Linked DNA regions of Callithrix jacchus. The protein of the gene in region 1 binds, or shares a complex with, the protein of each later gene. Links are inferred from orthologs where the notes say so. Each region holds a gene or a part of one and is shown on either strand. Other genes may lie near its edges.

Evidence for each region. Proteins that work in one complex are often made in the same cells at the same time.
Region 2: the proteins of SIN3B (region 1) and PHF12 are in contact, whole or in part, in a cryo-EM structure (PDB 8BPA), measured with the Homo sapiens proteins. The link is inferred for Callithrix jacchus from reciprocal best matches to the Homo sapiens genes SIN3B and PHF12. Residues at the interface, in NP_056075.1 of Homo sapiens: Glu307, Phe311, Leu318, Glu322, Val323, Tyr324, Glu325, Asn326, Leu328, Arg329, Cys330, Ile331, Leu333, Phe334, Asn335, Glu343, Leu347, Pro350, Phe351, Lys354, Phe365, Lys395, Arg396, Glu490, Glu493, Leu494, Val497, Tyr545, Arg546, Ile547; in NP_001028733.1 of Homo sapiens: Leu20, Met21, Gln23, Ile24, Gln25, Leu27, Leu28, Pro30, Pro31, Lys32, Thr33, Asn264, Leu266, Val267, Leu269, Val271, Val273, Phe275, Thr276, Asn278, Arg279, Ser280, Arg282, Cys292, Pro293, Leu294, Pro316, Asn317, His318, Ile319.

What each region holds. Positions count from the first base shown.
Region 1 is NC_133523.1:15,437,805-15,441,988, reverse strand, and holds the start of SIN3B (paired amphipathic helix protein Sin3b), read right to left. Parts: upstream 2,801-4,184; 5' UTR 2,778-2,800; coding exon 2,667-2,777; intron 2,410-2,666; coding exon 2,303-2,409; intron 768-2,302; coding exon 614-767; intron 1-613.
Region 2 is NC_133506.1:104,699,703-104,703,202, reverse strand, and holds part of PHF12 (PHD finger protein 12), read right to left. Parts: intron 3,137-3,500; coding exon 2,978-3,136; intron 2,419-2,977; coding exon 1,626-2,418; intron 389-1,625; coding exon 263-388; intron 1-262.

The DNA.
Region 1 (4,184 bases):
AATCTGGGAGGTGCAGGTTACACAGAGCTGAGATCGCACCACTGCACTCCAGGCTGGATGACAGAGCCAGACTCTGTCTCAAAAAAATAAATAAATAAATAAGAGGGCAGCACCTCTCACCCAAGAAAGAAGGAACCAAAGCAAAGTCAGGAGTCCCAACTGAGCTAATGATCCTATTGACAATCCCATGAAACATAAAACTGGCTGTTCTCACACCATCTCAACCACTTTATTTCACAGGTGGCTCTGAGAGTGATCAGAGGTAGACGACCACATGAGCAAGTACAAGGGCAAGCCTGCCTGGTACACTCGCTGGGAAAGCCTCAGGCCCAGATCTCAGACTTCACACAAAATTCTGCATTAGGAGGATACCTCCCTGACATCCACTCTTGATTTAAATCTTCCCAGCAGATCAATTTGGGAGGCAGAGGCTGCTTGTGTAGGTGTTTCCGTATCTATTTTGATTTGTGCTAGAAGCAATGAGCATGTCTAGAAAAAGAACGGATGTTAAGTGGCTTTCTAGCAATGACACAAGAGAGACACGTGGCCCAACCTGAGTAGCAAGATATACGCGGTGAAGGCTGAGAACACCCGAATCACTGTAGCGGCATACCTGGCATGTTAGAGGCGACTGTATGTTTAACTTCCCGTTCTTGGGAATGTCTATTCTGTATCCGAGGGGAAGAAAAGCATTGAATCCAACAATGAGGTCAGGGTGCTCGTGGAAGAGCTGAGAGACACGTCTGATGACTCCAGGAGTATCGATACTAGAAGAAACAACAAGAGTGGGTCTTGGGAAGCAAATAAAAAATGAAATCTGTTCCCTACTCCCTTGATACTGCCACATAACAACCTTCTCCACAGACAACAAAGCAAGCTAATATGATCCACCAGGCACAGTGGCTCACACCTGTAATCCCAGCACTTTGGGAGGCCAAGGCAGGCAGATCACCTGAGGTCAAGAGTTTGAGACCAGCCTCGCCAACATGGCGAAACCCTGTCTCTACTAAAAATACAAAACTTAGCGAGGCATGGTGGTGCGTGCCTGCAATCCCAGCTACTGAGACACAAGAATCACTTGAACCCAGGAGAGAGAGGTTGCAGTGAGCAAAGATTATGCCGCTGTACTCCAGCCTGGGCAACACAGTGAGACTCCGTCTCCAAAAAAAGGTGCCCCTGAGATAGCATCTGTACACCATGATCTATTTCCTGAGCAGCTAGGCCTGAGCTCCCTGTGCCCTTTTGGTGAGAACCAGAAAATACTGACATTGCTCAGCTCCCGCAAAACACTCCACGAATGAGTACTGGGTTCTGAAAATGTCAGGAGAGCCAACCGCAAGTCCTGGTCTCCAAGAAGTGGCAGGAGGCCTAAGTCCTCTAAGCAATGTGAAAAATTCCCTCATTTCATATCAGATGGGGATGACTATGACACAGGTTTCCATCTGAGCAAACGACTGCAATGCATAAACACCAACGGTACAGCCAAGTATGGGAAAAGTGTAAGATAAATAGGAGGGGAGAGATGGGGTCTCCCTCCGGGCTGCATCACAGCCCTTAGCACTGGGCTCCTGGAAGGAGACCAGGCCAGCCCCACCAAAGGGGGCAGCAGCATGGTAGGGATGTAACCCGAATGCATCTGAGTCAGAGGGTCTGAGTTCTAGTGCCACCTCTGCCACTTAGGTGGATCCCTTACCCATTCCAAGTCCCATTAAGCCTCCTACAAAAACAAGTGCATGATCCCAGGGTTTCCCATCTATCTGTAATCCTCCTTGATTCTGGGCCTGCAAAATCAGCTCATGTGTTTTAAACGTTTTCTGTATGCCAGCTCCCTTACTAAGCATTTTATGCGTCTCACTTCCAAGCAGGCCTGGGACTCCGGTGAGCCCAGAGAAGCATGCTGAGGACAAGATTAAAGAGGAAGAGGGTGCCAAAAATTTCAATCACCAAGACTTGAAAAAAAAAATCAAAATGGGTCCCACCAAATCTTTCATGAACAAAACTTATTTAACAATCAACATATTAAATCAAGGCAGGATTCGACTCTATGAGTGTGCACGGCCTCGCCTTCCCTGGCTCCCTCCAGGTCCCTGCCCTCCTTTCAGGAATCCCCACGAAGCTCCACAAAGTGGGTACTACCCATTTCCATTTTTGTTACGAGAAAGAGCTAAGGCTCTGAGAGATTCGACAACCCGCGCAAGGTCACCCGGCTAAGGGGGCAGCCTGGAGAGGGGAGGTCCCACCCCGCTAGGCCCGATTCCGGCCAACGGGGGTCCCCCGAGGTGGAGAGGGGCCCCGCGGGTACCTCTGGCTTTTGAACTCTTTCATGATCTCCAGGAAGCCGTTGTAGGTGGCGGGGTCGCTGCCAAACCGGATCTTCACCTGGTCCAGATAGGTGAGGGCGTCTTCAACCTGCAGAGCGGGGAAGAGTCCCGGTGGGCCGGGGCCGTGGGAGGAGGGAACGAGGGGCTGGGATCCCTGGAGGAGAAGGGAACAGGCCGGACCTTCGGAGGGCCAAGGTGAAAGGTGAGGAGTGAGGGATCGGGGACCGAGCAGAGGGGAGTCTGAGGCGGGGCCGGGGCCAGGGCCGGGCGGGGCCTGGGTGAGGGGCGCCTGCCCGCGGAGTCCAGAAGATGAGGTCCCCAAGGGAGGGCGGGGATGCCACTCACGTGCACCGGCAGTTTCTCGTGGCCCGCGGAGCCCGAGCGTCCCCAGCGGGCGCCACTCAGCCCCCGGCCCGCGGGGCCACCACTGCTGCCGCCGCCGCCAGCGTGCGCCATGTTCGAAGTCGGAGCTGCACCCCGCCCCGCCCCCGCCCGAGGGCCTCCCGCGCATGCGCAGCCTCCGCCTTTGGAGGCGGGGTTTGATGACGTTAGAGGGGCGGTGTTCTTTGAGGGTCTCCTCTGAGGATCTTCTTAAAATTGCTCTCAAACCTAATTAACGATTTATATAGCAGGCGGTAGGCGAACCAAGGCCCGCCGGTTTCTTGGTCTGGCCCCGAAAGCTCAGAATGATTTTTACATGTTTACATAGCTGGGGGAAAAATCCAAAGGAGAAGAATAGTCTATGACCAGTGAAGAAGTTTGTGAAATTCACATTTGAAGGTCCCTGAATAAAGTTTTATTGGCACACAGACACGCCTGCCAGTTTACCTAGGATCTCAGCCTGCTTTTGCACAATAGAGTAGCTAGTTGCTAAAGATCCTACAGATCTGCAGAACCTGATGTATTTACAATCTGGCCTTTTATGGAAAAGGTCTGTGGGCCCCTGCTTTATAGAGCTGATGGGACAATGAAATATGAGCACCCAGCGCCCTAATACAGGGCCTTGCATGGTGAATTTTTGCTAAACGGCCTTTGAGTTAGTCCTAATCCTCCATTTTCACTTCCCTGTCCTTGGTCCCATTACTTCCCAGCTGGACCAGTTTAGGAGCCTCCTAACCCTGGAACTTTCTCAGCCCTGGTACTCTCAAGAACTCCAGGCTGAGGGTGGTGGCTCAGGCCACTTTATCTAGGAGATAAAGACAGGAGAAATGCTTGAGGTTAGGAATTCAAGACCTCCTGGGCAGCAGAGCAAGATCCACGTCTCTACTAAAAAAAAATTGAAAGTGAATAAATTAGCTTGGCGTGCTATGAACTCGCCACTACACTCCAGCCTGGGAAGCATAGCAGTGTTTTTTGTTTGTTTTAGAGCATCTCACCTCAAAAAAAAAAAAAGAAAAAACAGAAAAGAAAAAACTCAGGCCAGGTGCGGTGGCTCACGCCTATAATCCTAGCATTTTGGGAGGCCAAGGTGGGCAGATCACGAGGTCAAAAGATTGAAACCATCCTGGCCAACATGGTGAAACTGCGACTCTACTAAAAATACAAAAATACCGTGTGTGGTGGCGCGCGCCTGTAGCCCTAGCTACTCAGGAAGCTAAGGCAGGAGAATCGCTTGAACTCAGGAGGTGGAGTTTGCAGTGGGCCAAGATTGCAGCACTGCACTCCAGCCTGGTGACAGAGACTCTATCTCAAAAAAAAGAAAGAAAAAACTCGGTTCATTCCACCACTGCTTCCAAACCTCCAAGGTCTTCCTATTTCTTTGTGTGTGTGTGTGTGTGTGTGTGTGTGTGTGTGTGTGTGTGTGTTGCCCAGGCTGGTCTTGAACTCTTGAGTTCAGGCAATCCATCTGCCTTGGCCTCCCAA
Region 2 (3,500 bases), on another chromosome or scaffold:
TTCTTTTCTCACTGGTTCAGTTTGGCTCTGTCCTCCCTTCATCTCTGATTGTGAGTATAAGCATATGTAGAAGGCAGAGCTGTAGAAGGAGCTTTCTTTTTCACTCCACTCCCTTATCCAAAAGGATACTCCTCATTCCCATCTCCCCTAGACCTTTGGGATCAGGTGTTCCTTCTCCCCCTTTCTGAAATGAGCTGAATGATATCTAGGAAAGCACCTTCAACATAGCAACTGTTGGAATAGCAGCTGCTCACTCACTCACCTCCATTGACATCCATAAATGCTCGAAGTGAGTTGGTGAGGTCCACCATGGCAGTAGAGTTGGCTGGGAAAGAGGGTACGGTTAAAGCGCTTCCTATGGATAACGTGCCGGGGCTGACCTTGCCATCTGGGGACGGAGCAGGAAGACTGTTACTTACGTTGCCTGAGGGAAACCCACCGGTCCAATCCCCCACTGCTGAGACAGGTCTGGATTTCGGACCCAAGGTGATGTTCCCTTCTTGATTCTCAACCCATAGGTTCTGGAACTCGTAGAGCTAAAAACGTGTGGTGAGGAAGGGCAGATGGAACGACAAATATACCCGGGCACGCAGGAGTCTCAGAGCACTGAGAACCATTGAAATCCACTGCTCTGGGGAAAGTAGTGGGGCAGCTTCATTCTTCGGGCCATGACCACCTCCCTGCTGCCTCTGCTCTTAAGTAAGTGGTGCCTGCCCTTGTAATTCCTGCCTACTGAAATATGACTCACAGCATGGAAAATCTACTCATGCTGGTATTAAGTGATAAAGAGAGATAGGAAAACAGCCTGGAAGTGGGGCCATCCTGGGACCAGGGGCCCCCATGCAGAGAAATCGCAGTCACCTGGTTACCGAGACTCCCAGCTGACTAGGAGGCCAGCTTCAGTTCAGACGGGAGAGACCACAGGGGGTTCCGGCAGCATCTGAAACCTGGTTCAGATGCCGGGGTCAGCAACCTTGAGGTCCTGAGTGCTGACTGGGGACAGCTGAGAGGTCCACATTAGGCCAAATACAGACCTAAAGGACCGCCCTTTGGCCGGTGGCCCGAGAGCAAGCTTCTGGGATAGACAAACCCCTGTAGGCATCCCACTCTATAGCTCTGAAAGACAGTGCTACTATCTATCCCTGCTTCCTGACGTGGAAGTTCCTCACATGAACTGTTCCTGAGACTATACATCAGGCATGAATCCATTCTTTTGTGTGGATCTGACAATACTGAAGCCATCACCCAGAACCTCAGGTTAATCACAGTAATTCCAGAGAGCACCCTGCCTTGAGGTGACAGAACAAAACAGGTGAGGGCATAGGCCTGGAAGGTACAGGATGGAGTCAGGAAACCTGAGCTGTGGTTCCAATCCTGTTGCTGACTCAGTAGGTCATTTTAAGGAAATCACTGAAGCTTTCAGAGCCTAAGCAGTCCCATCTATAAATGGGACAAGTTAACATGCGCTTCCTCTTGTATTACGGAAATGGGAGTAACACAAACAATACAGAGGCCAAAGTCCTCTGAAGTATTCACAGGGATATAAGTGCTTTTGGAATCTTGTCTTATTTGCCAGGAAGAGCATAACATTATTCCAAATCACCCCAAGGTTAAGCAGCACTCACCTGACGATGGCGCTGGTGAGCAGAATCGTTGGTTGGCTGCTGTGGCCAAGATACCATCTGCTGCTTGGGGGGGAGTGAGCACCCGGGTGGCATTTGGGGGTGAGCCCAGTGGCCTTGAATCTGTCAACGGAGGTCCTATCTGTGATTGGACAGTCTTTCTTTGCAAAGTGCTGGTGTTCTCGATGCTGGCACAAGAGCTGGGAATGGAAGGGGGCAGGCTTGGGACAGGAACCAAACTCCTCTGGGGGCAAGAGCTGGGGCCAGTGGTATTCTCTGTCTTCACAATGATGCCGACGGTGTGGTTCTGAAGGCCCCCAGCTGCTGGTGGCGTGAGGGGCCGGGGCCAGCCTTGCCGGTATGAGAGGCCTGGTAGGGGGGTGTTGGCGCCTGGAAGTCGCCGGGGGTCCGTGGAATCAGTAGGGCTGCTGTAGAGGTGTGGGCCATTGGCTTTCACCTCTGTGTTCACTGGCCCGTTGGCAGTCCCGCAAGGGGCTTTCTTGGATTTTTCCGCACAAGAACTGCAGCCGATGTCCTCTAGGGCTGAGGGCTGGAGGGGTGGAGAGCAGCTCAGGGAATTCTGGGTGCTAATCCCTGAGGGGCAGGACAAGGGGTAGTGGGAAGGTGTAGGTGTCTTGTCAGCTGTTTGCAGGGAGGTGGTGATTGAGCTGTCAGTCACAATAACAGGCTTAATATCAGCCTTCTCTGTCTGTTCAGAGTCCCAATGCGAAGGCATCTGCTTAGCAGATAAATGTTTCAATATGCTGCACTGGAGCGCAACAACACTACAGAGCCACTGCAATGGAAGGAGAGGAGAGGAGAGGAGGGTGAGAGGCCTGAGAAGTGCTGGTCCTTCCCGCCACAGTGGCCAGAGCTGCAGCAGAGCTGACAAGCAGTTTCCGAGGTCCCATTGCAAATGCTCACAAAGGGTGTGCTTGATTCCTGATAGAATTCCATTTCCATTCCCAAGCAAGACTTGTGGGTACACTCAGCAGGCAACATTCCCTCTGGCCAACAGAGCTTGGGATCCTCATTTTGGCTCTGCCTTTAAGGCTTACCTTGTGACCAATATCCAGCACTATCACTTAACCTCTCTATGGGTCTACTCATCTCTTTCTAGGGTATAGATTTCGGTGCACTGGGGGAATGATGCAGAGAAGCAGAGTGGTTGACTTTGTAGATCTCCTACTTGCCTTTGTGATTTGAGCCAGAAGTTCCCTCTGGAATACTCAACTATTGAGGGGTTAGGATGAGGGTAGGTGGGGACAGGAATGAGAATGACTGAGGCTACTTTAGATAACAGCTGTGGTGACATGGAAGACTGAATTTGGAATCCCAGCCCTGCCTTCACTCACCTCTTGCTGCTCTGCTTGGGTGGCTAAGTGCTCAGAGTTCAAAAGGTGCATCTGTGATTCCTCAGGGATCCCATTGCAGATCAGCTCCCCGTCCCGAATGGCCGCGGGTGCAATGAGAGGGGGTGGAAACTGGTACTGAGATTTTATAGCATCAGGAACCTGTTCAGGATAGACAGAAGGAAGAAGGAGAGGGAGATAGTTCCAACATGTCCAGTTGATTCTGCCCTGGTGTGCTGTTCTGTCTGTGGTGCTGGTGCCCAAGGGACCATCCACTCTGGGGTCCACTAAGGAAAAGGAGGCTCAGAAATGGAAATATAGCAGGTGGGGCCTCCACTTTTCTTCATCAAGGTCTAAGGCCTGCAAAACATAGAAACCACCATGTGCTGTCCTCTGCTTCAGCCTGAAAGGTGTAAAATGGGTACTGGACAGGGTTTCAGAGTAGTACTCTGGGTTCCTATTGCTCAGTGTCAAGTTTGGGAGGTGAATGAGCAGTCACTGAGAGAGAAAAATGCTTGACATGATG